2 linked regions of the Mytilus edulis genome follow. The protein of the gene in region 1 interacts with the protein of each later gene in a biochemical or structural test. Links are inferred from orthologs where the notes say so. Each region holds a gene or a part of one and is shown in the gene's direction. Other genes may lie near its edges. The genes, in order: serine/threonine-protein kinase greatwall-like and cAMP-regulated phosphoprotein 19-like.

What was found.
Region 2: of the proteins of serine/threonine-protein kinase greatwall-like (region 1) and cAMP-regulated phosphoprotein 19-like, one has a biochemical effect on the other in vitro, tested with the Drosophila melanogaster proteins (2 studies listed by BioGRID). The link is inferred for Mytilus edulis from reciprocal best matches to the Drosophila melanogaster genes gwl and endos.

What each region holds. Positions count from the first base shown.
Region 1 is NC_092350.1:35,709,033-35,726,328, reverse strand, and holds the start of serine/threonine-protein kinase greatwall-like, read left to right. Parts: upstream 1-10,776; 5' UTR 10,777-10,876; coding exon 10,877-10,906; intron 10,907-12,040; coding exon 12,041-12,096; intron 12,097-12,974; coding exon 12,975-13,075; intron 13,076-14,580; coding exon 14,581-14,672; intron 14,673-16,195; coding exon 16,196-16,335; intron 16,336-17,296. Other genes in the region: uncharacterized protein, read left to right, coding at 1,309-1,424, 1,873-1,945, 4,328-4,578.
Region 2 is NC_092347.1:89,975,840-89,993,038, reverse strand, and holds the start of cAMP-regulated phosphoprotein 19-like, read left to right. Parts: upstream 1-10,753; 5' UTR 10,754-10,840; coding exon 10,841-10,915; intron 10,916-15,146; coding exon 15,147-15,245; intron 15,246-15,596; coding exon 15,597-15,788; 3' UTR 15,789-17,199.

The sequences.
Region 1 (17,296 bases):
AGCAGTTAACTGACATGCCAGCTCCAGACTTCAATTAAACTGACTGAAAGATTATGATTTCATCATATGAACATCAGGCACAATCCTTCCCGTTAGGGGTTTAGTATCATACCATCATAACATATATGAGAAGAACATTATCCGTGTCATGCCAACAACTGTTTTTAGAATAAATGTGTTTAGTTCCGATGCAAAGACCTTATCAGTGACTCAATATTAACGCCAACATATGCAATCTTTAATGACTTGACAACAGTATCGTAATTATATCCCTTCTTAATAAGTCTATTCAAAGGTTTTGTAAGTTTCTGAGGTGAATACTGACATCTTTGTGCTTTATAAAGAATATTTCCATAAAAAATTGGATGTGAAATACCTGAACGTATTAGAAGTCTGCATGTTGAGCTATATTTACGAATGATGTCTTTATACCGATGATAAAATTTAGTAAATGTTTTTACTAGTTTGTGATATCGAAAACCCTGGTGTAATAATTTTTCAGTAATACATAAATTTCTCTCGTTAAAATCTAAAACATTGTTACATACACGAGCGAATCGTACAAGTTGAGATATATAAACACCGTAAGATGGTGACAAGGGAACGTCACCATCTAAAAACGGATAATTAACGATAGGAAATGAAAAATCATCCCTTTTATCATAAATTTTAGTATTCAGCTTTCCATTAGTTATATAGATATCAAGATCGAGAAAAAGGCAGTGGTCATTGTTAGTATTAGCTTTATTTAAAGCATTATGTGCCTGTACCAAGTCAGGAGTCTGTAATTCAATGGTTGTCGTTTGTGGCTGTGTATCATATTTGGTTTTCGTTCATTATTTTGAACATACAGTATGCCGTTAGTTTTCTCGTTTGAATTGTTTTACATTTGTCATATCGGGGCCTTTTATAGCCGACTATGCGGTCAGATTTTACTCATTGTTATAGGCCGTACGCTAAATATATAGTTCTTTATTTTTGTGTCAGTAAATCTGTTGTGGAGAGTTATCTCATTGGCAATCATACCACATTTTCTTATCATTTTTATATACAAGACAGTTAAATGAGGTTAGAACTAGTCCGATATTACTCTGACGTCCCACGGCCCCAGCTTGTCTGGCAAAACAGCCGTTGGACGTCAGAGTAATCTCGGACTAGGTTAGAACCTGTCGCAGGTAATTGATTCGACAGGAATGGTTTCAAAGACATGCGCTATCAACTGATCTAAAGTGCATGTTCTTTGAATGACAAAAACAAAGCTTTTAGGGTATGTCTTTAAATTAACAGTGTGAGAATTATTTTTTCTAGGTCTAGTTGTATCGGTTATAGAACATGAACACTTTAGAATGAAACTTCTCTACAAACAAAAGAAAAATATCGCTAATGACCTGAAGAAAGTTAAATCTGAAGCCAAAGTCCTAAAGGTACGTATATATATACATTGATATAAAATACATGTAATAGAGAGTCGAAGGATACAAAAGTGATAGTCAAATAGTTCATTTATTTCGTCGAGATTTGTTGAACTTCGTTTGCCAATCCGTCCCCCCCCCATCGGTCCCCCCATCGATGTCCATTATTGAATCGACTATGTTTTCTTTCTTTTTTGCCATGACAGTACATTCTATACATTTTATATATTAAACAATAAGTACCTGAGGGAAAAAAAGGAACAGTTCGTTATTCTTCCATTAAATATAAATTCTTCAATACTTCGGGATTAAATACGTGTTTTATACCTGGAAAGAAAACAGTCCTGACAACTAATTTTTTTTATCCATTAACAGGTTTCGCAAAAGTATTTTGTTTTCTTCAAATTAAGCTCAACTGTTTAACATAAATAGGCTTTTTAAAAGCTTTTCTTATTTTTAGCAATGTTTGGATATTGTACAGAAGATGGCGATAGACGGAGGAATTCCACAAGAGAAAATATCTCAACATTTAGGTACGTATTTAAGTGCATGTGGATTTGAAAGAAACAATCAGTTAAAAGATTTCAGTTAACAATAAAGAATATATATAATGATTTAAATATTTAAGGAATAAATAACAAATAAACAAAGCATCATTTATACCAATTTGTCATATTAAAAAAGTATCGGAAGATACCAAGGGAATATTCAAAACTCGTAATTTGAATGAAACTGACAACGCAATGACAAATAAAACGAAAAACGTCGTATAACACAAACAACTTCACAAAACACAGCATATATTAAACAAAGTCTGAACAATACGAACTCACTTAATCTTGGTGGGATATAAAGTGTTCCGGAATGCTGGATAAGTAGATTCTGCTCCAATAGGATACTCGGCGTCGTCTTACTCGTAGTAACTTCAGATTTGGTGTTGTTACGATCGGGAAATAGAGGGTGGAATTGTGGTTACGACCATTTGAACATACCATGGGCAAGGTCCGTAACGATCAGCCAGCTCGTGATGGAGTCCATTTAACTTTCAAAAGGATGGCTTTAACTTTTAGCGCTTGAAACCCTGATCAAATATTATATCCGTATAAGCAAAACATTTCTATCAAGGAAATCATTATAGAAAACTTAAGGGAGCCCCGGTCACAACAGATCGTACGATTTTTTTGTCGTGGAAGATCTATAAAAAAGTTGTCGTGGCAATGTCGTGCAAAATGTCAAACAATATTTCGAGTGGTCACATCAGCTACGACATGTCCATGATGGGTACACGACAGAGAAAAAAGAATTGCCAGGCTCCATCCTCATGAATCCAACGAAATCATCGACAGACTCCCGCTCCAACTCTAGCATCAGTGTATACTATTCTGCCTAAACATAAGGCGCCGTTCGATCCATGGACTAACCCACCATCGTCGGGCGTTTCACTGGTTCCTATAATGTTCACGGGCTCGAATTAACGCTAACAGGACCATATTTTGCTCTTGTTAGAGTCCGGCAAGGCGTCTATTTAGCAGGATCAACCGTAATCGTTCTGGTGGAATAGTCATCCTCTTTAAACGACAGACGGTATGTTTTCCCAAACATTCATTCCCGCCGAATTGTATTCTTCTGAATAAAACAAAAATATGTTGCACGACGAACGTACCACTGTCGTACGACAGACAATCAATGTTGTGCGAGTATCGTACGAAACTTGGATATGCGTGAGACAATCATGCGACCGTATCACGAGTGTCTTGCGACAGTCGTAGGATTGTCATCTTGCAACAGTTGTACGATTTTTCTTTATTAAAATGGTTAATGTTGGTACCCACGACAATGCGTTTATCGCATGACAGTCGCACGACAGTGGTAAGACACTACCACGACAACCACAAGACCGTGACACGATAAAAAATCGTAGAGCAAAAAAGTTGCATGTCCAATTTTCGTCCCACGACACACGACAGCGCCACGATGCTCACAATATCGTGCGACTGTCGTACGATGACCACAAATGACCAACGATTTGACCAATTTTCATGTCGTGGCGCTGCATAGATGTATTGTGGGACGGTGGGGTCGTTGTGACCAGGGCTTAAGCTCTAGAATGTCGTATCATATAGTAGGTATATACTCCGAATGCAGGCGCTGTTGGAATTTTGTAACATATAAATGGAAAGTTCACAATCAAAAAGCTAAAATCATCCCATTTGTCGACATACTTTTTTCTCAACCAACAATCATTGTCAATACCATATGTAAGTCAAAATATATGTCGTTATATGAGGAACTTTGAAGTACACCTACCAAATATATTATTTTGTAGTTTTTTTTACATTTTATGTAGCACGATGAACTGTATCGATTGTCTCGTGTTACGTATCATCTCAAATATTTGGAATTTCCAAATCGGTCTTTTATGCCGAATGGTTTACTTTTAAAAATTGTTATTTGGATGGAGAGTTGTCTCATTGGCACTCATACCACATCTTCCTATATCTGTTGTCTTATTAGAAAACATGCTGTGTGTGCATGTCTCAGTGGAAGAAATATTGAAGACAAGATTTTGCTTGCAGAATTTTTGTTGGAAGGAAAATCATTTTAACCTTAATAAATATGTACAGTATTACATCTAAGCATGTATTTTAAGGCTTTTTAAAAATCTTTGGAATATATGATTTGATCGTTGGTTTACCTGTTTGAATTGTTTAACACTAGTCATGTTGGGGCCCATTATAGTTTGTTGTTTGGTGTGAGCCAATACACTGTGTTGAAGGTCGTACTTTGACCTATGATTGTTAGCTTTTTATACATTGTGACTTATATGAAGAGTTGTCTTACCATATCTTCTTATTTATAAGAACAAATGTGTGGAATTTAATTCAATCATCATCTTCTTGTTGTTTGTTTTTCAGCTTTTCTTCAACAGAAACAGAACAAGAAAAGTAAATTATCAATGTCTCCATTCAGGAAATCGACGGAAGTACTACCCTTAGAGAATGGCACATTTAGTCCAACAGTATATAACTACGCAGATGAAGACAACAATACAATATCTAACGGCACAGACAACAATACAATATCTAACGGCACAGACAACAATACAATATCTAACGGCACAGACAACAATACAATATCTAACGGCACAGACAACAATGTGGTTTAGTCAACTACTGTTGTAGCGCGAGAATTGCATTCAAATAAAGCTATTTTTATAAAGAGTGTAAATATAATTGCATTCGAATAAGCCAGAAAAGATATTGTAAAAAGTGTCAAAAAAGTGCTGTTTTGCAAGTGCAATAGTTGATCATGAATTATAAATAAAATGTATTCAGTCCGAGGTAGCTTTTCAATGACAAAGAAGTCTCGAGAGAGAGAAAAAAAAACGAACTGTATAGGAAGTTGTTGCTAAGAAAAAAAATTTCTACTTAAGATATTATTTTACATGTAGATAAACTGCACAAGTAGTTAATCTTTTTTGTATAGCATAACCTAATTTTAAGGTTGAATTTATTCATTTTTTAACCATTTTTATATCATTTTCTGTATCATTTACATGTTGTATTGAGAACTATATTTATATTAAAAAACCTTTACAGCTTGTTTACACACAGTAATTCGCCTTTATACATAGCGCATTTCTTCAATTTACTGGTTCGTTTGTTGCAGAACTAATCAACATGAGCGTTCCCGGAAATGTTTAGTAGCTGGAATTAGGTCAAAATTATATGTCAACTAGTTCATAGTTAAAATCTGATAATGACGAATTTCACCATTATGTTGTTCTTCATTTCTGTCTATTATGTTGCAAACTGTAATAGATAGATAGAAACTTTAAAACCAAAAAATCTCTGCCATATAAGATCTACTCTCAATATCAGCATACCAATTATAAACCTGCAAATGTGCATGTCATTGTTCACTCACCATTGTCAAACTAGATGTATAAATAAAGGGTATGGATCTCATTTAAAAAAGTGTCTAACCCCGCCGCATTGTTGCGCCTGTCCCAAGTCGGGAGCCTCTGGCCTTTGTTAATCTTGTATATATATTTTTTAAATTTTTGTACATTTATATGTATGAGAGTTTAGTGTGACGTCCATTTTCGCTGAACTAGTACATATTTTTGTTCAGAGTCCAGTTTTCTTGTTGTGTAAAAGACCAATTGGTGGTTTTGGGCTGTTTTCTGTTCTTTGGTCGGGTTGTTGTCTTATTCCTCATTTCCATTCCCAGTTTCATGTATCATATGATCGACAGTGGCGTTCATTTTACAACAAGTTTAAAACGGTTTTGAATCATTCAAAAGACTATAGATTGGTTTTTTCTACCCCAGTCAAAGTTAGCATTAGACGTATTTGACCCAACTTTTTGAATTAACTTGATTTTCAAGTTTTGTCAACTTCGTTTTCTGTTTGGCTGGTTTGGAACTTTTTTTTATTCAAGCGACATTTATGTGGCTTACGAAACGCGCATTTAGCTAGGTTCACACTGCCGATCAGACCAACTCGATGATCCCGATTGTTCAAATTTCCACGACCAAGCGGAACCAAATTCTTGATTGGGCCTGTTAACGACTTCTTCCCGGCTAGCTAGACCAAATCAACTATACTCGATCTCAGCCTGATCTAGGCCAGACCAGATCGACATGATCGTATAGGGGTCGGAGGCCGGTCTATATCACCCGCTACAGCGGAGGGGGCATTAAGTGTTTCCCTTGTCCGTCCGTAAGTACTATACGTACGTCCAAACAATTAGTTTCCGTTCTCTAATTTTATTTTACTCAATCCAATTCTATGAAACGTTTGAACAATGCTTAATACCATAAAACACAGATCAAGTGAAACTGTTTCCATATATCTTTCACAAATTCAAATAAAAATCATTAGTCTTTCGTCTCATCTCTTTTTTTTTAAATGCGCCAAAAAGCATTTGAAAAAAGTGTTTGTAAACATTCGACCGTACGTTGACATAACGCCGGTAATTTCTGTGTCATTTGATCTACTGTGGAGAGTTGTCTCATTTTCAATTATACCACATCTTCGATTTTTTACTACAAAAATTTCCGGACAGTCAAACAAAAATCATCCCAGGTTTTATTTGGTTTCGTGTTACTAAGTTTTTAGTTTTCTATGTTGTATTATGTGGACTGTTGTTTGTCTTCTCGTCGGCTTTCGTTTTTCGCTATGGCTGTGTCGGTTTGTCTTCGACCTTTGAATTTGATTGTTCCTTTAGTATCTTTTGTCTCTCTTTTATAATTTTACACCTCCTTGCAAAAGTACAGACGCGAACTGTACATGGAGGAATTTGCGTATAGTTAAAAAATAAATAGAGACAATAATATAGTTTTGCAGAAGCAAAGTTACGGGAGTTAATCAGAGTTGCACACATATTTAGAGAGTGTTTGGCCGAGAAGAGACCGAAGAGTGGTCGAATGTGGTCGTGTAGAAATCGGGTATTGGTCGAGTTGGGATGTAAAAAACATAGAAGTCGCAAGTGATTATGAAGCGATCGGGTATTGGTCGAGTAAATCTGGACCACATATCGAACAGGTTGGCGTTGATCGAGAAATGATCGGAAATAAGTCGAGTATAGATCGAAATGATCGAGTACTGGTCGGTAAACTATTTGTATACCGAACAAACTCGATCTATACACGATCCTTTTCCGATTAATTCGACAACTACTCGACAAATTCTCGATCTCTTCTCGAAAGACTGGCTTCTCTATCCTTACTCGAATGTTTTTGACATGTCAAAAACTCTCGGGTAGAAAGTCATATCGATGACGACCAAGGTAGACAAGCCCGAACATTCATGTCGATTGAGTCAGACCAGTCTCCCGATCGCTTAATTTGTCTTGATCGGGATTGATCGAGTTGGTCCGATCGGCAGTGTGAACCTAGCTGTACCTACTTATGATATAAAGATAACATGTAGTATGATTGCCTATCAGAACACTCTCCACAAGATACCACAAGGCAGTTAAATTAACAACTATTATAGTTCCCCGTCAAAAATAAACAAAACTCATTCCGCATAGTCAGATCTAAATGGCCCCGAAATGACAATGTAAAACAATTCAACAATATATGTACAAAATAAAGACCGAAAAAATAAACATGACATACTGCAACAAACGACAACCATTGCACTACAGGCGCCTGGCTTGGGACAGACACATACCATACATAATGTGGCAGGATAAACTAGTTTGAAGGCGTCAGCCCTCTAAAACCTGTAACGGTGGCGTAACAGATAAACATAATGGTTTACTTTTATAACTTGTTATTTAGATGGAGAGTTGTCTCATTGACACTCATACCACATCTTCCTATATCTATAAGAACAAATTAAAAATCAGTTGAAAAGGCCTGTCATATCGTCGATCCTTTTTTAAACACTGGATCGATAACTGGTGGTGGACGTTTAGTTTCATCCTAAAGGTATCACCAGCCCGATCGTCAGCGCGTGTGTGTTGTGTTGACATGAAATATCACAGATATAGTTACGTTCATTTTCTGCAAATTCAATGCACTAAAATATTTGTATCCCCGGTCGAAGATAGCCTCAACTGTCCTTAACTTTTATTTAAGATTTTATTTGGTTTTCAATGTATATTAACTTCATATTCAATTTGGCTTACCAACTGTCGAAGGCAACTGGCAAGTCTGACGAAGACGAAATGCAGGTGGAACTAATCATAACCCTGGTATCTGCGATCATCTTTTACATGCTTTTAAAAGGATAATTTATTTCTAAAGTTGAAATCAATTAGATCGTGTTTCGTAAACATATAGTGAATAGGTACATTCTGGGTTTTTTTCTCGGACTGTTTGTTACGTCTTTTCATTAAATTCATCGAATGTTAGATGTAAACTGATAGATCTAGGATGCATAATTTTTTGTTGGTTTTAAGCTATAGCTGTTAGTAACTGCTAGTACTCTCAGATCTGTGTTTATATAGTGTCTTTCAGTTGTGTGAATGTATGACCCGTCCACGCCATCTCTGTGTTTTTGTTAGTGTATTTGCCTTGCTCATTGTTGAAGGCCGTACGGTTCCCTATATTTCTTAATTTCTGTGTCATTTTGATCTCTCGTGGAAAATTGTCTCATTTGCAATCGTACCACATCTTATTTTTTATATATTTAAGTTTGTCCAAATATTTAGATCCATACAACCAGTGGTAGCAGTTCTTATGCTAAAGCCTTATTTAGTGTATCGGATATACACGAAGATCTTTATAAGGTTGGATTTTAAGTGGAAACTTATTGATCCTCCAATAATTTATATCAATGTCGATTTTATTACGACAAAGATCTTGATTTTGGAATGAAATAAGTTTCCACGTAATTATAAACCTTGTTTATAAGATCTTTTTGTCTATATAGTATATACCAATGCAAAGTACTTTCTTAAATTAAAGAGGACTATTTTTTCTTCTGATGGTTTTCTTTTCGATGTACTTCTTTTTTGTCATGGTATTGTCAGATTTTTTTTAAATTTATGATTGTGTATAGAATCAAATTTCTACACCCTAATGTCTTATAACAGAATTCGATTATTTTCAGCGGATTTTATTTTTCATATGTAACTGACTTTGACCATACTAGAGGATCATATACTGTTTATCCTTCAGTGAATACTTACACATAGAAATCCCAAGTAACTGACTTTGACCATGCTAGAGGAGCATATACTGTTTATCCTTCAGTGAATACTTACATTTAGTGATTGTACAGAGTATCCCACTAGTCTTTATTTTTTGTGCAGTGTTTTGGGGATTATGTTTATTGTTTATTGTTTGTGTTTGTGTTTTTATTCTATTATCATGTCATTTTCTATCATCTGTTGACAAATGATTTCTGTTTAAATTATTATTCAGGTAAGTAACCGAAACTGATTCTTACTGTTAATAAATTTTTAAACAGTGAAGCTTTGTTTGGAAAAGATCTACAAGTCAGAATATGCTTCTCTGAGGTCTTTTTTCTTTTGAAACGGCTAATGCTCAACAGACTGTTTCTAGATATTATGTGAAAGTTGACTTGTTTTACAGTGATTTATAGGAAACGGAAAATGGGAAAAGTTATTGACTCTCTTACAAGACGGAATCAAGACTCAAACTCAAATCAACTTTTTTCTTTTAATCGTAGGATTATATCATAAGCCAAAGGACATGATTATATGATTCGGGGTACTGGCTAGGCGCATAAAAGTATCCCACTAGGATAGACAAATTTTTTAAATATAATACAGAACTGCCGCGTGTTCAATAGAGGCTTTTCATTTAACAGATGTCTATTTTATAGGGTTAGACTTTAAACTTTAAACATAATCAAAATATTGTGAAATATTAAAAAATTAAAAGACTTGAATTGATTCAGTGTGTCCGATAATTTATTTCATTTTTTTAGAACGTCAAACAAGGTTAATTCTTAAATACGAAGCGAAAAAATGCCGAGACTAGCGCTCATGTGTCAATCATTTAATTTTGAGGTCATGATATTTATTTCTTTTAAATACAAGTCATATATTTTTGTTCGTCCTACGAAAAAATATTCCAGCAACTTTTATGTTTAAAATGAAATATTTTTATGAAATTTTATTACTAACAGTAATTAAGACTCAATTGATTTTTATAGCCATATTATCATTTTTTTTGCACAGAAACACTTATGTGTCTTTAATTAAATAAGTGTTTTTTTTCTAAAGTATGAATCATTTATGACCCCCCTTTTTTTTATACATTTCATTAACTAAAGAGACATTTCGATATATATATATATATATATATATATATATATATATATGATTAGAAAAATTCATTCGCTTCAGACAGACAAGAAATAGTTTGGACGGAATTTGATTTAAAAATGTGTTATTATATGAAATATTAGCAAAAGTTTGAAATGGTGAACTCTTTTGATTCGACTCGGAATGTCTTTTATTTTTTTAATTTATATATTTTTGTAACTAATTTTCTAATTCAAAAACAATCTTCAAGGGATATAAATTTATTAATCCAGTAACCAAATTATGTTCTATGATATCAAGCCTGTCCCTACAAATGTAATTTAGGGATTGAGTCGTTAATAACCCTATAGTAATTAATTTACTTAATATCCCAAAACTTATTGATATTACCCGAAAACTCTAATTTATAACAAAAATCATTTCACTCCAATTAATTGAAAATCAAATTCAATATGAGTGATATTAACGTATGTATCAAAATAACAGTCTTTTATCAAGATATAATCTGTATGAAAGGACTATAAACCCCATATCATATATAAATTGAGTTTTCGCGTAAAATTTAGAGGGCTGCAAATGATTACCTCCCTTGACATTGCTTTTTAGTACAGGAGATTTGATTGGTTCTTGGCGCTTTAATGCAAATATGAAAAATGTAAACAAGACACAATTTTGTGAATGAGGGAAATTGGAAAAGAATTAACAGGACAAACATGGAACAAGTCAAAGACTTTATTGTAAAGGTGAAAATTTATGTCATTGTACAAAAACTAAGATTGCAGCTGTCTCGAGACGGAAGGTGATCTATCCACACTAGGTCACAGCCACAGGCACATGTGTCTCGGGCTCTTTGGGGCATTGAGTGACACCCCAGGGGCGGATCCAGCCATTTAAAAAGGGGGGGTTTCCCAACCAAGGATAAAGGGGGGGTTCCAACTATATGTTCCCTTTCAAATGCATTGAGCGACAAAAAAAGGGGGGTTTCAACCTCCCAGACCCCCCATGACCCCCCCCCCCCCCCTGGATCCGCCAATGCACCCCCTGTAGACATGATAGAAGTTGCTGGAATTTCCAGTCATCATTTATAACCTCAAGCCCTATGAAATAAAAGAGATAACTATATTTAATTTTAGTTTTGTTAGAGAAATAAGTGGAAATATTACAAGCAAATCGGGTAAACAGGATGTAACCGTAGTCCAAATAATTATGATGTCTTGGAAGGCTATTTCAAATTTTTGCTTTGATGCCTTCCTGAGTATAATTGAAATATAATTGACCTAGATACACAGTGTACAGTGGTCGTTTTCAAACAAATATAATTGCGTAAAGACCTGTATAAATGACCAAAAAACTTTCGAGACGTTCCAAGAATTTTATTCTGGCTTCCAGCAGAGAGATATCCAGAGGCCCATAGACACATCCAAAACTCGCCAATATATACGCATGAAACCCCTCAGGGGGTTCATGCAAAATTTTTAAATTTTTTTTTTATTTTTCTACTGAAATACATGTAGGGGACTTCGTCCCCATATAATAAAAAGGTTTTTATAACTTAAAAATGATATATAAAAAGCAGGTAAGTTGAAAGTTCACAAAGATTGTTTTAAATATAGTATTTCCATCCAACATGGCGACCAAGGATAACATGGATAACGCATACATGTATACCATGTGACATGGTCGCCGTCTTGGATGTTCACACTTATTGACACTATATTTATAACGATCTTTATAATACAAATACATTTTGTACTCCAAAAAAACAAAACAAAACCACTGACCATGCTGACCATGTTCCAAAAGCATTGATAGGAAAAGCTAAGAAAATTTAATGTACATACATGTAAGTATTCATGTTAATATGAAATGTTTTTCAGCCTCCAGATATAGAAGATTTTGATTTCATAAAGCCTATCAGTAGAGGAGCATTTGGGTAAGTAACTGTAAGTTACATGTAAAAATAAGAGCATGAAGAAAATGTATTATTGTCAATAAGACAACTCTCCATCAGAGACCAAATGAAGTAGAAGTCAATAACTGAAGGATATTGTACAGCCTTCAACAATGAGCAAAACTCGAACTGCATAATATACTATAAAAATCCAATAAATGACAATTGTAAAACAATTTGATTGAAAAAACTAAAGGCCTGATTGATGTACAAAAAAAAAAACCAAAAATGAGGGGAAAAAAAAGTATTATATACAGCAACAAACAGAACATAATAAGAAAAACTATGCAAATCAGTTGAAAAGTGCTTAACTCATCAGATCTATACACCATGTACACCATGTACATGATGTACACAGAACATAAAAACCCTTAAAAAAACCCTCAAAAAACACATGCTCAAATAAACAAAGATTCAGCGCTCTAATTTAAAGCCAGGAAGTAGGCATATGATCTGTTAAATTTAATATTCACATTCTTTGTTAGGCTCACAAAGTTTTACAAATAAGGGTTAGGTAGTTTTTGAAATGTGTGTATTTTATGTTTAAATTCAAACAATCAGTTACAAGTTGTCCACTACAAAATAGGTATAAGTCCCCTACCAAGGAATTTGAAGGGGACTTTAGTTTTGCACTATGTTTGGTCTGTCTGTCTTAAATATATTGATTTGATATTTGGTATATTGTTTGATCATGACAAGTTACAGATCAAATTTCAAATTCAGTTACATATCATGCGCTCATGGCACAGCTGTTTGATTTAGTACAGAGAGTGTGTAAGGTCTATCCAAAATTATTGAAATACCTTGAATGCTTTTTATGTTTTATTTTGTACATGAATTGTATTTCATCACTATTTCAGGAAAGTTTTCTTAGGATGTAAAAAGATTGACAGAAATAAGATCTATGCCATTAAAGTTATGAAAAAGGCAAACATGGTACAGAAAAATCTAGGGGATCAAGGTAAGTTTCATTAAGACAAAGTTTATATTCAACATAAAAATAGAAAATGTGGCATGATTGCCAATGAGTGGTTTCTCTTTCAGAGACGAACTGATGTAGAAGTAAGCAATAGAAAAAAGACCAATGAGACAACTCTCCATCCAAGTCACATTATATATGTAACCAATTATAGGACAAAGCCTTTAATCACACCGAACAACAAAGCTATAATGGGCTCCGAAATAACTAGTGCATGTAGTGTAAAACAATTCAAACAGGAAAACTAATAGTCTAATCTATATAAAAAATGAGAAATCATCATGAACCACATCAACAAACGACAAAAATTAAACAACATGCTTTTATCAGTATGGGGACTTACTGAAATAAGTGATTTTTAAATCACTTATTTGAGAAGCAAATTCGAGGTTTTGTCACAAATTGGGATTTTGTAGTTTTTTCAAAATTTTAAACACATATGGTCTAAATAACATCTTTTAATTAGTAAAATTAAAAAACATGAACTTTTTGCTTCTTTTAAGTAGCAAGGTTTATGCCTTTGATGCTATCATTTACCTGAAAATTCTATTTTAGTTCAAAAAATGCTATAATTATGGCTGTACATAATGAACTGATACTTTCTTAAAAGATTTTTCACAGCAGTGGGAGTATTTTTCCTGTGAAGTTCAAGGTTTCATCTTTCAGATTATGTAATAAAATTCTACTGTTCGCGATAAAAATTTCACTGTTCGGGGGTGTTGAAATTAATGGGGGTTATTAAAAGAAGTGATTTTTGGGAAGGAAATTGAGGTCTGATACTTAAACAAGTGATTTTTATGTCATTATCCTAGATTCAGTACAAGGTCATTACCTGAAATGACCTGGTCATCCTAGACAACACAGATGTTGGTTCTGATAAGTTTAGAAACATAATTAGTCCCTGGATCATTAGTATTCTATATTTAAAGCTACACTAATATTAAATCACTTCTTCTAGTGATTAATTTGTACTACTTAAATAGGTGATTATTAAAGAAAGACAACTCTAATTCCAACCTTTATGGAAATAATGTTACTTGAATCAGTGATTTAGAAAATCACTTGTTCAAGTAAGTCCCCTGACTGATTTTTTTGTTTATAGATAACCATACAGCCTCCAATAAGGAGCATGAACCAGACCACATAAGCAGTGTAGAATTGAGCAAAAATAGTGGAAAAGGCTTAACAGAAATCATGGCATATTTTTCAGAAAAAAATACAATATCTGACCACTGGGTCAGACATACATGTTCATACACCTGCAGTTGGACATTCCCAAATCATATTTTTCATATTACAAAACAGATTCAACATAGTGGTTTTGGTACATCACATTTAATGAATAACTAAATTTGATTATTGGTACTTATACAACAATATTAATATATGATATTTGTTTTAATTCCTGCTCTGTTAGTGATGCCTGACATCTTATTCTTGTGAAAATTGTTTTTTGTCTTCTGAATGTATTTTTTTTTCCATTTTAGTTTTGGCAGAAAGAGATGCAATGGCCCAGGCCACCAGTCCGTTTATTGTACACTTGTTTTACTCATTACAGTCAAAACAGAATATCTATTTGGTAGGCTTATCATATTATACATATATTTCCAATATTTAAAAGTATAAATATAAAAAAAAATCAGCTTCTCATACAATGTATGTTATACATATATTATTTTCGGACACAAAAAGAAAATCCATGTAAATGAAGGAAGATGTGGTGTGATTGGCAATGGGGCAACTCTTCACAAGAGACCAAATGACACAGAAATTCACAACTATAGGGGACCATCCAGCCTTCAATAATGAGCAAAGCCCATACCACATAGTCAGCTATAGAAGGCTCATCAATTGAAAAAAAAAGCAGTGGATGTCCTAGGCACAGGAAACATAAAGATGTCCACAAACATCAGAAAACTTTGAAACATTTTTAGTATTTTTTTTGTAGGATGTTAGCAGATTTACTATTTTTCGGATCTTTGGAACAATATTACATTTGTCAAAAATAAAGTTAATTATTTATGGGTTGAGTAATTTATTTGAAAAAAGTATAAAAACGTGATTGCTGTTGGTTTGGATTATCCTCTCATTTCTGTTATATATATTTTATTTTCTCTAATTCTATGGAAAGGGATAAGGGCCGATTTTGACCTCAAATTTCAGATGTATCTAACGAAAGATTTCGGACACTTTTTAAACACTTGAGTGTCTAATTCAGTTGATTCAATTAATTTATGTGAAAAATTTTAACTGATTTAGCCATTAAAAACGCTCTGATTCAAGCTTAAATATGAAAAATCTATCAAATATGCCAAAATATGTCACTTTTTAGATGGTTTTTGTCAAAAATGAAAGTGGCCGCATCCGTGTTCATCCTCAACCTTTATATATGTTATGTATTATCATCAAATCCCACTTTCATTTCAATATTAAAAATGAACACAAATGCGACCAATTTAATTTAAGACGGAAACTGTCTGAAATTTAACTAAAAGGCTAAAATTGTGAAGATTTCAGTAATTTAGCATGACTTAATGATGCTAGTACCCGATATATGTGCATTGTATTGTCAAAAAACAGCCCATATTTATGTAGCAGAAGCATTCTACTTTCCAATAAATAACTAAAAGTTTACATTTTAACAATTTTGAAAAATGCTATATTTTGGGGCCAAAAAGGGTTTTGCTGGACCTACTCCTTCATCCCTAATAAAACTCATTGTATTTAAAAGTTTAATCAAGGTGTGGTTACCGGTGATCTCATAAGATGATTGGATATATTTAAGAGTCATAACCTTTACCAACACACTGGATGTATCAAAATATGCTAACAGGTGTTAACGAAATTGACAACTTTGTGGAAAGTGGAAGGCAATTTTGGTTTAGCAAAAAGAAAAATTTATGTTTTAATCATTACAGAAACAGATACTCACATAGTTACTCATGGATTATTTGATTTATCCAATCTCGATAGTTAAATTATAAATTTTAAAGTCCTCGCCGAGGCCTTTAACTTTAAAATTGATAATTTAACCATCTCGATTGAATAAATCCAATAATCCACTGATATCAATGTAAAAATCTATTTGTAACCTATTTTCAGGTGATGGAATATTTGATAGGTGGAGATGTTAAAAGTTTACTAGGAATCTATGGATTTTTTGACGAGGATATGGCCATGTTGTTAGCAGCTGAAGTAACATTGGCCTTAGAATATCTTAATTCCAGAGGCATTATACATAGGTAGGTTTAAATGACAGGAAACTGTGTGCTGTATTCCTTCCAAGAATTAGCTAATTGGTAACATATAAAGGCCTATTAAATTAGCTTTGACATTTAATTCATTGTATGGAATAAATAAAAAGAGTTGTCCAAAAGCAATTATTTATAGGGAGATAACGATAGACAAGTTTTCCCCACCTTTACACACACTCACTCACACACAATCACATAGTAACAAGCTTATATAGTACCAATACTCAAATCTCAGTTCAAAGTAGAAATGGAAGTATAAAATAATTGATTACTTTAAATAACCAGTAGATCTATAATTTATACAAAATTTTCAGACCCTCACTGGTACTGGTTATAAAAATAAGGAGATATGGTGTGATTGCTAATGAGTCAACTATCCATCAAATTAAATGAAGTGGATGTAAGCAGTTATAAGCTACTGAAAGACCTTCAACAATGAGAAAAACCTGCACTGTATGGTTGGCTATAAAAGACCCCTACATGAAAAATATGAAACAAGTAAATTGAGAGATCTAACAGCCTAATTTGTAACAAAACAATTTACAAAAAACAAACATGACAGACATTAACCAAAGACAACCACTGAACTATAGGCTCTTGACAGACATGACCCAGACGACCACTGAACTATAGGCTCTTGACAGACATGACCCAGACAACCACTGAACTATAGGCTCTTGACAGAGATGACCCAGACAACCACTGAACTATAGGCTCTTGACAGACATGACCCAGACAACCATTGAACTATAGGCTCTTGACAGACATGACCCAGACAACCACTGAACTAGAGGCTCTTGACAGACATGACCCAGACAACCACTGAACTATAGGCTCTTGACAGACATGACCCAGACAACCACTGAACTATAGGCTCTTGACAGACATGACCCAGACAACCACTGAACTATAGGCTCTTGACAGACATGTCCCAGACAACCACTGAACT
Region 2 (17,199 bases), on another chromosome or scaffold:
TTTAACGTCATATTTTAACATGAACTCTACATAGTACTTGACCAACATGCTAAGCTGGATTGCAAGATTTGGAAATAACAGTCATATCTTATCGAATTAATACTACAGTTATTTTTATAGAGAATGATATATCTTATTGTTTTTTCGACGTAACCATAACTCTATTACACAGGCACTTGTCTCTGAAAAAAAATTACCTATATACCTTAATATAACAAGGTATATAGGTAATTTTTTTTCAGAGACAAGTGCCTGTGCTCTATTATAAAGAAATTATGAGTATGTGTAAGTTAAACCTTTTCTATGTTACTCCAGATAAAAGCAAACGATGTCTTATAACTTGGCGTTGTGTTTGTTAACTTCAAACTGGTGGATTACAATCTATCCTTTTAATTCAACACAGCACAATGTGTAATTACTTAAGATTCTTGCGGTGTTTGTGTCATTTGGTACAGTTTATATTCCCCCAATCTTTTAAGTTGTATGTAACTAGTTTTAATTCTTGTGTTTGTATAAGTTATCAAATAAATATGTAAGAAAGATATTCAGAATGAAGAAGTTCTTGGGACATAAATTCTGTACCAACTAAGTACAAAGATATGTATGATTGATATTGTTCAGAACAGAGTATACAACAATAACCTCCCATTAAAGTCTTCTTTATTCTCAAGTCTTGGTGTTTTTTTGCTACAATATTAAGAAAAACGATACCACACACGTTCCTGGTATTTTATTTACTGTGCCGTGCAGATTCTTGTACATTCAGTGGTAAATTCCGCTCGGATATTATCAACTTTTTTTTATACCACTTCAAGTAGAGCTGTCAGGCGTATTACTTAGAGGGGTTCTGATAGAATAGATTTAATATGGAAACGGGGAATGTTTTAAAGAGACAACCCGACCTAGGAAATTTCTTATGAAAGCGTTTTTTTTTAATTTCTTGATGCTGTGAACATTAATAATTTTGTGCCTGTACATCTGATAATTTCATAGGATTTCGTTGAACGAAATATTGGTCCTTATAACGATTCATAAAAGCATTGGTTGTTATTATACGTTTTGGGGGTAATATCGTGCTCTATTGTAACGAATGGACAACTACTAAACCTCAAACGGAAGTTTATTAGATCAAAGGTTATGGTTTTTTTCATGTTGATTTGAATATCGTCAGTATATGGTGTACTGATTTTGCAGGTTGGGGAAATGTTAGAACTCCTCCTGACCTTGTTCATTCAATTACCCTCTATAAAGTGCGCTAGTGGATTACTCTCACACAGCTTCCTTACCTATAGAAGAATAACTATGCTAGTGGAGTACTTTGACTTAATAGATATAGGAAGATGTGGTGTGGGTGCCAATGAGACAACTCTCCGTCCAAATAACAATTTATTAAGTAGCTTTCTCTAAGCTATAAGATATAACCGGCCTTCATTAACTGTACTGGTAGAACTTTTTTTAGCGACGTCGATATACTGGTGGCTTATTGTGCCAGTGTTCTATGTATCGACAACAGACTAGAACATCAGACATTTTAAATTAGACGGATCCCTATGCTGTGTTGTAATAGTCTTATAGACTGCTCTATAGTAGGACTTTTTTTAGCGACGTCGATATACCGGTGGCTTAGTGTTCCAGTGTTCTATGTATCGACAACAGACTAGAACATCAGACATTTTAAATTAGACGGATCCCTATGCTGTGTTGTAATAGTCTTATAGACTGCTCTATAGTAGGACTTTTTTTAGCGACGTCGATATACCGGTGGCTTAGTGTTCCAGTGTTCTATGTATCGACAACAGACTAGAACATCAGACATTTTAAATTAGACGGATCCCTATGCTGTGTTGTAATAGTCTTATAGACTGCTCTATCGTAGGACTTTTTTTAGCGACGTCGATATACCGGTGGCTTAGTGTTCCAGTGTTCTATGTATCGACAACAGACTAGAACATCAGACATTTTAAATTAGACGGATCCCTATGCTGTGTTGTAATAGTCTTATAGACTGCTCTATAGTAGGACTTTTTTTTAGCGCGACGTCGATATACCGGTGGCTTAGTGTTCCAGTGTTCTATGTATCGACAACAGACTAGAACATCAGACATTTAGACGGATCCCTATGCTGTGTTGTAATAGTCTTATATAACTGATACATAACAGTCAGAGGTTATTTAACTCGTATGATTGCTACTATATTTTAACGATTCTCTCCAGATCCAAGACGTCTGTCTGACTTCAGAGGATGATAAAATTTCTTCTTGGTCAATAAGTTGTGATATTATCTATCAATAATGATTATAATTGAAAATAATGAATGCTCTGAAGTTAGCTATAATTAGATCTTCACGGAAAAGTTTTGAATACATTACTTAGACAGAGATTAATATCAGCTAATAAAAGTATCTTCTGTTGCCGACCGAAGCCATAAACAAGATTATAAATACTACAATAAAGAACCATATTAGAGTTTTACATTAGGAACATTAATGCTGCTATTTGTCTTATTGAAATTACATCCCACAGGATATAACAATTTTCTTTTCGCTCTTTTGTATGATGAGCTTTCATAAAACTATATCAATATCATCAATATTTTCCCTGATAAATAATAAATCTATGATCGGTATATATATCAATATCATCAATATGTTCCCTCACCATTAATAAATCTATGGGTGGTATCTATTAGAGAGAGACATTCTTTGATAACTAAAAAGTTTAATGTTGGTGTTCATAACAATTTCAAAAACTATACTTCAACTTTACCACTAGAAACTCTTGATTCACTTCAACTTTACCGCTAGAAACTTGATTCACTTCAACTTTACCGCTATAAACTCTTGATTCACTTCAACTTTACCGCTATAAACTCTTGATTCACTTCAACTTTACCGCGAGAAACTCTTGATTCACTTCAACTTTACCGCTAGAAACTTTTGATTCACTTCAACTTTACCGCTAGAAACTCTTGATTCACTTAAACTTTACCGCTTAAAACTTGATTCACTTCAACTTTACCGCTATAAACTCTTGATTCACTTCAACTTTACCGCTATAAACTCTTGATTCACTTCAACTTTACCGCGAGAAACTTTTGATTCACTTCAACTTTACCGCTAGAAACTCTTGATTCACTTCAACTTTACCGCTAGAAACTCTTGATTCACTTCAACTTTACCGCTAGAAACTCTTGATTCAGTTTCATCCGTCTAGATAGCAACTAGTTGCAAGAAATTATATGGGATGTGCCTTTTGCAAGGATACGGATATATGGCACGCCGTTTTTATATTTATTCAAATTTGAAGATATCTTATTTATTTAACAAGATATCTTATTAAGTATTAGATATCTTTAATTTTTATAAGATATCTTATTTAATTTGAAAGTAAATAAGATATCTCTATTAGTTTATAAGATATCTCTATTAGTTTATAAGATATCTCTATTTGTTTATTAGATATCTCTATAAGTTAATAAGATATCTCTATTAATTAATAAGATATCTTATAAAGTATATAAGATATCTTACTTCTTTATAAAGATATCTTTTAAATACATACTTTATAAGATATCTTATTAATTAATAGAGATATCTTATAAACTAATAGAGATATCTTATTAACTTATGGAGATATCTTATATATTAAATAAGATATCTTTATAATCAATTAAATAAGATATCTCTATAAGTTAATAAGATATATCTAAAAGTTTATAAGATATCTCTATTAGTTTATAAGATATCTCTATAAGTTAATAAGATATCTCTATAAGTTAATAAGATCTCTCTAAAAGTTTATAAGATATCTCTATTAGTTTATAAGATATCTCTATAAGTTAATAAGATATCTCTATTAATTAATAAGATATCTTATAAATTATATAAGATATCTTACTTCTTTATAAAGATATCTTTTAAATACATACTTTATAAGATATCTTATTAATTAATAGAGATATCTTATAAACTAATAGAGATATCTTATTAATTAATAGAGATATCTTATAATCTACTAGAGATATCTTATTAACTTATGGAGATATCTTATTAAGTAAATAAGATATCTCTATTATTAACTATATAAAAGATATCTTATATAGTTAATAAGATATCTTATACATTAATAGAGTTATCTTATATTTTAAATAAGATATCTTATATATTTAATAAGATATCTTTATAAACATTTTAATAAGATATCTTATTTAATATAGAAGATATCTTATTTAATAAATCAGATATCTCAATTAATATATAAGATATCTCATTTTGTTATTAAGATATCTCAATTAGTTTATAAGATATCTTATTTAACTAAATAAGATATCTGGAAATTGAATAAATATAATAACGGTGTGCCATACGGGTACACAATTCCTATATGAGACCCATGACCGAAACAGTGTAAGCTGCCAAGCTCAGATATCAAAATATTAAAGAACGATTTCTACAGCATATAAAATGAAATATATAGACTTCCTGATTCTGTTGTTGCCCACAATGCTATTGTTTGTTTCTGTTGTTCTCTCCTATGTCCTTCAACGGAAATCAAGAAATGACAAACACACCAGACTTTGTATCTTATTAGATTAGAGAATGACAAACACACCAGACTCTGTATCTTATAAGATTAGAGAATGGCAAACACACCAGACTTTGTATCTTATTAGGTTAGAGAATGACAAACACACCAGACTTTGTATCTTATAAGATTAGAGAATGACAAACACACCAGACTTTGTATCTTATTAGGTTAGAGAATGACAAACACACCAGACTTTGTATATTATTAGATTAGAGAATGACAAACACACCAGACTTTGTATCTTATAAGGTTAGAGAATGACAAACACACCAGACTTTGTATCTTGTAAGATTAGAGAATGACAAACACACCAGACTTTGTATCTTATTAGGTTAGAAAATGACAAACACACCAGACTTTGTATCTTATTAGGTTAGAGAATGACAAACACACCAGACTTTCTATCTTATAAGGTTAGAGAATGACAAACACACCAGACTTTGTATCTCATTAGGTTAGAGAATGACAAACACACCAGACTTTGTATCTCATTAGGTTAGAGAATGACAAACACATCAGACTTTGTATCTTATTATGTTAGAGAATGACAAACACACCAGAATTTGTATCTTATTAGGTTAGAGAATGGCAAACACACCAGACTTTGTACCTTATAAAGTAATGTAAATTGAAAGGCAACTTTTGTTTTAGCTTTACTCAATACACTGAGGGATGCCATGAAGCAATCAATAATCGATCATACACTGAATAACCGAAAAACCAGCTAGTATTCGAATAATTTTTCTATTCTCACGCCCTACAACTATATTAAAATGTCTTTGTTTTTTGTTCCCACATCATAGCGAGATAACTTGTTTTTATCCGACGCCTAAGTTTGAGACATTCAAGACTTGAAAATGGCCTTTCAAGTTCATAACATAGAAATGTTACTGGCAATATATAAGGAGTTAACATCTTAATAGAAGCAATGAAAACATTATGCTTTATGCTTTATTTGTTAAATCAGTCGATCATGACTGTTAGACACCAGTCATAGCATTTCACCTTTAAAGAACAATATAAAAGCGAGGTGGGAGATACCAATGGAATAGCCAAACCCATCAGTCGAAAACGAACATACTGTAATGGCAAACATACGAAAAACATCCGAAAGACAAATAACAGTCTACAATACCCAACAACGACTGAGCAACACGAACCCCAGCTAACATCCGAAAGACAAATAACAGTCTGCAATACCCAACAACGACTGAACAACACGAACCCCAGCAAAAGTGGAATATATAAAATAAGAATTTCAATAACAAAATTGTTTCATTGAAAATTGAAACTTAAAACGTATTACTAATTCGTTTTTCTGATTAGCTGGATGGTGTTCGGGCATAAAAATATAAAAAAAGAAGATGTGGTATGATTGTCAATGAGACAACTCTTCATAAGATACTAAATAACACAGACATAAACAACTATATGGGTCACCGTACGACCTTCAACAATGGGCAAAGCCCATACCGCATAGTCAGCTATAACAGATCTCGGAATGACAAATGTAAAGCAAGTCAATCGAGAAAAAATACCTGCCTAATTAAATAATGTAAAAACACAAATGTATGATTACAAATAATTATGTATAATAACACAACATAACGACAACCACTGAAGCAGACCTATTTGGTTTTTCTTTCGATTTCAAACGGTCAACGGAGTAAATTTTATACTACGTACAATAATGTACAAAAAAGTAACATTCCAATAGTAAACTACTTACTTTCCATGATTCTCTACTACAGATCAAACTAAAACACCCAGTCATGCACTATAAAGTTATTGCACTGATATTGGAATAAATGATCGAGGACACATCGCGAAAGCAAATTTGCAGAAGTACTAATATTGTTGGGCTGAATTGGAGATGAGTTATATGTATATATATATGGTGAGGGTCCTCAAGTTGGTTACTTATTCCTTATTCCTTATTCGTTACTTATTCCTTATTCGTTACTTATTCCTTATTCCTTATTTGTTACCTATTCGTTACTTTTTCCTTTTTCCTTATTCGTTATATTACCTATTCGTTACTTATTTCGTGCTTTACTTTCTTTAATATTTATCTATGGTAATTGATTTGTAGAGGTGAAATTACACTTTGAGCGCGAATGTACTCGTTTTTGCGCTCGACTGATACCCTGTTACTTATTGGTTAAAAACGTGTGTTACGTTGTACCTTTAAAGAAAATTCTTTTCAATTTTTGTCTTGTCTCTGTTCTTAGAGCTATGGTAACTATATTTTAGCAAATGATGATATATATAGAAGAAGCGCGACAACTCTATTTAAACTTGACACTAATACAATGGGCCATTCCAGTTAATTTCTGACAGGTGGGGATGGATGGGGAGAATTTTTTTTCATACCTATCAGAAAAAAACATCATGAAAATCTACCTATCAGATCTATAAATTAAGACCTATCAGATGTAGAGTTTCAGTTCATATTAGGGGATGGGCTTTCATGGGAAAAATTGACCTATCAGAATATTTTACTGCAAGGATTGTACCCATCAGAATTTTAAATACAATACCAGATAATGCATGATACGAAACTGTCTGCATTCCAAACACCCCTAAGATCTGAAATAGGTAATTTTTGAAACCCCTAAGATGTAATTATTTTTAATTATTTACTGCTACAAGACCCTCAGAAATTTTTGCGTATAAGTGTACGTGTCAGATGAAAAAAACACCAAATTTCAACCCTAAGATGTATAAATTTTACACCCCTCAGAAAGGACCATCCATCCCCTTTAGCAGATATTAACTGGAATGGTCCAATGTAGTATTCAGGGCTGCAATATAAATTTCTGTAAGATTAACATATTTATCAATTATAGTTTGATATGGGCGTTAATCTTAAAACTCACATTTGTGTACTATTTCTACCTTAACTGATCAACAGTTAATACACCAAGATAGTGTCAGTGGGGGTTCATTGAGAGATATATTTTACTGACTATAAGGTCACTTTGTTTCGAAATATCATTGACTTTCAGGTAGAAATAAGGAACATACGCATTTGAAGATGATTTATGTCAGAACTTTCTATATATAGTTGTGTAGCAACATTCGGTCAATAACTGCACATGTGGTGTATATTTAAGTTCCAAGCTGATAATATTTCCTGAACCAGCGTTTCCTCATCGAGTTGTTTTGAAAGGCTCATGAGTCATTACACTTGTAAGGATAAAATGTTATTCACCAATGAGAACAATTATTTGACTGCTTCGGATGGTCATACGGATTAAAAACGTTGTACAGTGAATTCTGTATTCTTTAATTCAGTATATAACAATTCGCCGTCATGTAATGAAAGGTTGAAACGAATCCATGGAATCAGTAATCAATGATTTTCTTTTGTAATTTCGGACTTTATCTGTTTCAATAAACACAACACATATGTGAAAGCAACAAAAAAGCGGGATCCTCATAACGGTCATTTACCAGAATTTTAAACAGATTTTCTTTCTTCAGGTTTGAGACCCAAATAATGATAATGCAAATATAAGGTGAAAGTCCGAGTCAGCCTTTTCCCGACATATTTTAATAAAAATCAAATATCTCGAAAAGGAGTTCCATGACATATCAATATTTTTAGCTTATTTTTATCCATGTATATCTAATGCTCTTCCGGATGTAAAGTATCAATTTTAAATTCTTAATGTATTTTTTAACATTTCACTTTCAGTCTCGTTGAAATCTCGTTCTGGAATTATTTCCAAAACATGTGATACAAGTGGAAAATATCAATAAATTTTAAAAATGTTAACGTGACTGTACCCAAATTGCACCTATTTTGACAGTTTTTTCATCTACGTTTTTTTTATGATAAAGACAAAAATGTCTGTGTTTATTTCGTAGCCGTATCCTTCTTTATTATAAAGGTACACCAATTTGATTTTTATTCCATATGGAATCATAGAAAAATTGGTCTAAACTGACCTCCAAACCATCAATTATTCTGAAATGAGGAGTACCCAAATTGCATTCATGCTTTAATTCACATCGTCAAAAGTCTAATAACAGAGCTTTTGTTTAATTTCAACAAATATTTTAAACAATTGGATATTACTCTTCATTTTTTTTAAATGGGTACTTGCAACATACATTGCATTTGCTCATTTTAAACAGATGACCGCGTTTTGGTGACGTCGCATGGCGACGTTTCAGTACATTTTGCTTTTTCAGTAAACACTTCATCTGTTGATAAATACGGTGAACGTTTTGTGCATATCTAAATAGTTTTAACTATGTTGAAAGATGTGCTATAAGTATCAAATCATAAAAATACAAATTGTAAGATTTTCGCGGCTAGTTTTGCTAAATAGGTGCAATTTGGTACCGTTACGTTATAATCAAACATAACTCTGTGCAAAAAAATTGTGTATTTACAATGAAAAGTTTTTCAATAATACAGTTTTCGAATTTTAAGACCAAACAAGTCAGTCTTTTTAGCCAAAATTTTGTGAAAATAAGTGAGGGGTACAAAAAAATGATTTTATAAGAATCATGTTGTTTTTCAAATTTCTTAGATATGTATTTTTTCAATCATATTTAACCCCAAAAAAATGAAATACAGCATCAAAATCAATCTAATTAAAAACCGATCTCTCATCGCTCCTGTTTCTGATATGTCGCGTAATCTAATTAAAAACCGATCTCTCATTGCTCCTGTTTCTGATATGTCGCAATTATTTTTTTACAGTCTTTTAAACCCAAAAATCAGGTTAAGAAAAAAAGCTTAATTCTAGAAATATTTTGCTCCTTAGAGGTGTAACCCTAGTATTGCCACTTTTTTACATCTTTATGATCATACAATTAAACCCATACTATTTATTATATGGCAGTGAAATATGGGGAATGTTTAGAACGGATTCAGCTGCTTGTAAAAAAGATAATGATTATATATTAGAAAAAGTCTTTGGTCAGGATTCTTCTGAAAAAGCTCATACCAAATTTATGAAATATATTCTTGGTGTAAACAGAAAGTCAAGTAATATAGCTGTAATGTCAGAGCTTGGTAGATTTCCTATGTATTTTACTATAATTTTATCAATGTTAAAATATTGTCATAGACTGGAGCATTTGAAAGAAGGATTATTATTTGATGCATTTATATGTTGTAAACAGTTACATAGCTCTAATGTAAATACATGGTGTTCTAGTATAGATTATATTCAGAGATAGATTGAATTACCAAATTTTGACCAATCATGCAATTGGTTCTTTATGTCAGTATGTTAAAAATAAACTATGTAAAAGTTATTTCACATTTTGCAATAAACTTAAGTATCAAACAATTAACTCCGAAAAAGGAAAGCTTGGTACTTATTTTTTTATAAAAAAATTGTTTTAAAAAAGAAAAATATTTAGAATTGCAGGACTTCAAAAAAAGACAGTCAATTTGTAAATTAAGAATAAGTGCTCACTCTAAAAACTGAGACAGACAGATATTCAAAAAAGCATTTAGAAAGATCTGAGCGTCTTTGTTCTAATTGCTTACTTGGTAAAGTTGAAGATGAGCTTCATTTTTTTTATTAGAATGCCCTCTTTATGATATTCAAAGGGACGATTTTTTTCAAGACATTTCTAACAATTGTTATAATTTTATAAATTTAAATAAATCTTCTAAATTTGTATGGCTCTTGACCCAAGAAAATGTTACTCTTATGGAAAAACTGGGCTGTTATATATGTGACTGTTTTGAATTAATGAGATCAGGTATGAACACTGACACTAAGTCAAGTAAATAATTTGAGAATAAATACATGTACATGTATAATGTAATTTTATTATTCTTTTATTCACAATATATATATGTGTTTTTTAGCTTGATTCTGACCAATGCTTATATTCCAAATATATATGTATATGCCTCTATTATTGTTGTTGTTACCAATTATGTAATGTTATCTGATTTTATGCCCTTTAAGGGCCCTGCAATTTGGGAAATAAAAAAAATATTCTGTACATCCTTAAGTACATCCATAAAGTATTGTGTGCTTTGTCTTGTAGCGATAATTGAATTGTAATTATGCTGCATTTATAAGTGCACTTTAAAAATGTTAAAATTTTAGATTAGTTCCTTTCTACTCGTGATGTCTTTTAGGTTTTGGGCTAAACCACATACTAAAAGAGGATAATTAAATCTTTGCTGTTGATTGGTTGATATTACAATACCGTGTGAGCGCCTCCATCTCCAATTGTAAAATTAGTGAGAGCCTTTCAAAACAAGATAAACATGTCATCGGAAGGAACAATAGATCGAAAAGAGCCAGAATTTGTTGCACCTGAACCCACAACAATGACGATAAAGGTTAAACATTAACATTTGTTTCGTTCTATGAGTAGTTTCGGTGCAAAAAGAGATCTTTTTTTCATCATTTTTGTTTTGTTTTATTTTTCATTTCTTAATGAATAATTTTCATGTTAGAGTTATTTCTTTCCACACAAGCTATGAGGTTTAAAGAGTAAGTAAGTAATATTTTAGGTTGAGGTTATTCTGATCATCATTTTGTAGTGTATCAACAATTTTTTTTCAAGTCAATATTGTGGATTATTTGGAAAAGGTTTTACATCACTGCTTAACATTGTACATTTTCTGAGCACAGCTGTTTTGTGCTGTATTGCCATTAAGGAGGAAAATACATGGAGGAAAATACATGGAGGAAGATACACATAGGGCGTAATATGCACCAATGAGAAGAGTTGTGCCATAAGGCCATAAGATTGAGGATTGAGGATTAAGCACAGCAGAGGTAGAAAGGTGAAAATTGTAAAGAGTGTCAGACCATAGAAACAGAATGATGCAGGACACCTTTCAAAACATGCTGCCTATAAAGCTTAACTGTGCCAAGCAATGATTTAAAAACTTGTGTGACAAGCTGCTTGACAAGTTTGTCAGTTCTTGTATGAACGGTGATTTCAACGAATAAACACAATGTGTGATTAATATCTTTTTTAAAACATGCCCTTTTCATATTATCATATCACGTGTTAAATGCCCTTTTTTCAGGATTGACACCCTGCCCTTTTGAAATCCTAGCTGGAACACTGACCATTGTCATGATTGTAGGAAAAAGTTGGGCTTCCAAATTTCAATGTTGTAAATGTATACATATCTGTATGTGTTTATTTGTTCTAGCACTATTATCATAATTATTACCATGATTACTAGTTTTATCATGCAATGAAACTTGTTTTTTACACTTAAGTTCATTCATGTTATATATTTCACTCACTTGATTATTGTGCCACAAGATAAATATATGTGATTATGAATACCTGCTATAAATTCATGATAGAATGGGGTGCTCATTTTCGCCGGGGACACAATTTCGCCGTTTAAGGATTTTGAGGTGTAAAAACTTCAAAGGATGGCTGAAATGGAAGAAATGTACCCGTAAAATTATATTTTTATAACAAATATAATATTTTTTTAAACTGAAACAAAATTGCGGCTCCTACCGAAAATGACCGAAAAACGGACAACGATTTTCGGACAATTTCCTGAATAAAAAACACGATTTCAAAGAAGTATTTCTAAGAAAATATTTGACTGAATGCCCTAATTTTGAATTCATTATACCTTTGAAATGTCTGCTATTCATCTATAATGCAATTGATTTGATAAAAATTTGTGGTTATTTGGTTTTAAATAGATGTGTAAAAACGGCGAATATGTGTCCCCCATTGACAAAACATCCGGAAATTTCAAACACCCTTTAATCTAACTTTTCAGATGATTTTCTTAAAACAAACCGGTTTTCAAGCTTAAGCCACACCAATTTAATTTCTTGTTCTACGGATTTTTGGACTCCAAAAATTGGGGCGAGCGAGCGATTTGAAAATTTAAATAAAAAAATATTTAATTTGCAAATTCTTGAGGCGAAGCTTAAAAAGTAAAGGCATGAAAGGCGAGCGATTCTAATTTTTTTTTGTAAACATAAAAAAGTATGTTTTGACTATATTAAAACTTAATTTATCACTTGTACCTTGACATTTCTTTAATTTATGGTATGAAGTATTTTTCCCTGTTCAACAAGAAATAATTGAATAATTAAATCTGGTCTATATGTATGTGTGACTGACAATGAGACAATTCTCCATCCAAGTCATAATCAGGTACAGAACAACCCCTTAATCTGTTAATGTTATGAATATCCCTTTTATGAGGGGTTAATATAAGTTGTAATAAAAAAAAAATTGTAAAAAGCCTTTTAGTACAAAAGGGCTAATATTTTCTCAAAAAACTATAATATCTATATGGTATTTAATGGTCAAAACATGTCCAAGAAATTTGTAATATTCCTGGACTTTAACCATGTTAACACATTTACTTTAACAGTTTAATATTATTCAAAATAAGTGAACACCTCTTTTAGAAAAGTAGTGTAATTTAAATATAATGTATTTCTCCTCTTTTTGAGTAAAAAAAGTTTTCAAAGGTTTTGTATAGTAGCACTATACAAATCCTTAGTATTTCTTTTTTCTTTTCTACAACACTCAACAGTAAACATGGAAAAATGACCCCTTCAACATGTTCAAGGCCCTTGTCTGAGGAATAACCTGATAATAACAAACATAGGTCAAAGTACGGCCTTTTACACAGAGATTTGATCCAGACCAAACAGCAAGCTATAAGGGACCACAACTTAGAATTGTACACAATTCGAACAGGAAAACCAACGATCTAATTTATATTTCCAAACGGGAAAATACCAATGAACCACATTAACAAACGATAACTGCTGAACGACAGGTCCCTAATCAATCAGGACAGGTGTACAAACCTGCAGCGGGTATGACCGTCAGAATACATTATAATTGCAGTTGAAGGCAAATCCTTCAGAAATTCTTTGTACATGTATTTTATTTTAACAACGAACTTTTTTGATAGGGAACATAAGTCAGGGGGAAAGAAACCAATGTTTTGTTCTGTACAGGTATTTCCGGTGTTATATATTTATATCGTGGCACTCCCACTTTGAACAAATTTGTTTCATGCTGAAACAAATATTCTCACAGATATTTACAGTGTTGTGGGTTGCTTATAGGTTTTAAATCGTTATATAAAGAATATACTGTGATTTTAAAAACAAATGTTGAGATCTTTTTCTAATATTTACAAAAAAACGGTGCGGGAAATGGACATGATTACATTTCCGGATGCAGGAAGAGGGAATATAATAAAAATTTTAAAAAATCTGTTTTGAAAAAAATAAGTGCGGGTGGGTCCGTTGAACAAGGAATTAAATTGGTGTGGCCTTAAGTATATTTTGCATTTTAAGTTATCTTCAATGTTCATATAGAAATATCAGTATACTTCAAAAACATTTAGACCTGAACATAAACTGTAGAAAACATGGAAAGATGTGGCGAAAATTAGCACCCCACTCTAAAGAAAAAAATATTAAAAGATCAAACAGTTTTACTAATTTTTAATATTATCCATTTATTGTAAAACTAGATCATCTCTTAGTATATGAGACCATATGAGTATTTGGACCATATACGTATACTCGTACGGTCGGACCGTATGAGTATACGCGTATGGTCCAGTACGAGCTAACCATACATGTCATCATATGGGTTAAATTTAAACAAACATTTATCACAATCTTTTTTTTTTTAGTTTTACAAATTGTTATTATTACAATTAGATGGATTAAATGAACAAACGAACTATTGAAATTAAATAGTTTTTTAATTGTATATCTGAATCCTATATATTTTGGGACTCTCACCCAAGGTGACGCTTGCTTCCACAAGTAACGTAAATTTTTTACATTTAAATGTTTGCAGTTTATGCATTTTACATTTTTTGATAAAGTTGCTAAATATTCGAAAACAGTTGTTCTCTTACATTATGTTTACTTCCGATATATCTTCAATTTCAGTGATCTTATTCAATTCATGTTAACTATTACTGATCGACATACTTTATACAAGAGATTAACAGATTTAAAAAGCATGAATCTGTTAAATAGTTAAAATATAAAGTTTTTTTTTCAATTACAGTTGCACTTTTTTATAACAATTTGAGAGTTACGTTATGTTGATTTGTTATATGCATTTGTATTTAATAAACTTCACCAACTTCTTAATATTAGTCAGACCGTATGAGTATTTTGAAAAAGTACGCATACGGTGCAAATACTCATACGGTCTGGAACACATATAAAAAAATAAGATGTAGTATGCATATGACAATGTATGATTGCAAATGAGACAACTCTTCACAAGAGACAAGTGCCACACGTACAGAAATAAACAGCTATAGGTCAATGCTCAGCATACAAAAATGAGCAAAGCCCATACTGCATAATGAACAGTCAGCTATAAAAGGCCTTGAAATGACAAATGCAAAACAATTCAAACAAGAAAACTAACTTTACCTGACTTTTACATTTACTTGCATTAACATGATTAAGTGAGGACTTCCATTTTCTTGACCATCACATTTAATCTCTTCGAAATCAGCTTATAATTACATATCAAACAGAGAAACATGATTAACTAACATATAAAGTATTTAATTTTGATAGGAGAAAATGATGATGGAAGAAGCCAAATTAAAAGCTAAATATCCCAATGTGAAACCAGGTGGACCATCAGGACTATTGGCCAAGAGATTACAGAGAGGGGTAAGTAGAAATACCGGTATTCAAACTAAGATGGACTGTAAGGACTATTGCCAAAAATTATACAAAGAAACTGTAGCATTGATCAAGAACAACTCTAATTAAATTGCATAGTGCTGTACAAAACAAGATGGATAAGACATTCCTTACAAAGACTGAAAGAGATGGGCAAAAACTTGAGTGTGAAAAAAGTAGATATCCCTACCAACGAAGACAAAGAGGACTTAAGGTTTGCACTCTTGTCTATCTGCCTGTCTTTAATCATGCAAAATTATAACTAATCTGCTATAGAAAATGATGGATACATGTATGTATGTATATATATTTAATAAGATTATTTTAATTCTTTTTTAGCAAAAGTATTTTGATTCCGGAGATTACAATATGGCCAAAGCTAAGATGAACAACCCAAAGACCCCTTTGGCGCCCACAGAAAAGATGATATTACAGGAATCAATTGGAGATGCTATCCCGACACCAGAATCCTTACCTCCTAGAAAACCCTCCATCATACAGAGTAGATTAGCAGAAGGAGAATTGTCATAGATGTTACATTCATCCAGAGTCATAGAAATCAGGGATGCCACAATATTGGTAGATTTAAGTGATTGACAGTAAGGACACACAAAGTGTATTGTCTGTCTGCTTCCACTGTATGCTTGCCAAGTTGTTCAAGAGCATCACATTTCTTTAAGGTCCATATACAGTATTTCAAGTGTAAAACAAAAATTATAAACACATGTTCAATTATTTTTTGAGAAGTAAAATGAATTTTCATGGTATATAAACATGTACATTTTTGATCAATTTAAGTTATTCATTTTCAGAGAAATAGTATGTCAATGATCATGATAGATGGTTTAAATAAGGAAAAAAAGTGGTGTCAGGCCTGTACAAAAGTATGATTGGTCCACAGTTCTTTAAATTTTCTAATCAGAAACTGGTTTCTTGATTGCCATTACTTTTGGATTCTTTTACTGAGTCATATTCTGGCTTGAGTTTAACAATAATTTATTATTTTATATGAATACTATGAGAACATTTAAGAGAGTAAATAATTACTGTTATTTTTAATCTTGAAACTTCAGGCTGGTAGATTCAATGTAGGAAAAAGTTGTTAGTTGAAGAGTAAATTTGTAAAATGAAACCAAGATAACAGGATACAATTTGAAAAAAAAATGAATTAAGAAGGCACAGGTTCTTAACATTTGTTTAGGTTAAGAAGACAAAAAATATATATTTGAATGCTACACATACATGTACCACTACCATATTTAATTGAGAACTGATTGAATGAAATGAAATGTAATTGAAACTGTAACTGAACAAGTTAATTTATCTACCATCATTGTGTTCCTGTTTCCATGGTAACTAGCCAATTTGAGAATTTACCAATGCTTTGTTCATGTTACCATGGTAACAGAACAAGTTAGAAAATCTGCCATTTGTTTTTTTCATGTTACCAAGGTAGCTGAACAAATTGAGAGAATCTGCCATTGTTTTGTTCATGTGACCATGGTAACAGAACAAGTTAGAAAAGACCATCATTGTAGTGATGTTGTTTCTCTGACATTGACTAATAATTGACAGAATAGTGCAATATTTATTGAAGATAAAATTGTCCCCAAATTATGATATTGTAACTAACAATAACATCTAATTAAAATCGAGATATGAAATGGGTGAATGTTGAAGTGCACAAAAGTATTTCATATTTTTATAAAAAAAAATGATTGTTTTTGCTGTTACATGTAGTTTTGCTTTAAATTAATAAGCTTTTGAATCTGAGGCTCGCAGTCAATTATATTTCCAGAAGTCATTTTTCCCAATCAAAAAGTCAATTGCTAAGTTACTATATATCAATTAATAAAACATTAAATATTGGTATTTTGTACTGTTTGTACATGTATTTATAGGGATTGTGTTTCAAACAATACTTTTGTATTGGGAATTTTTC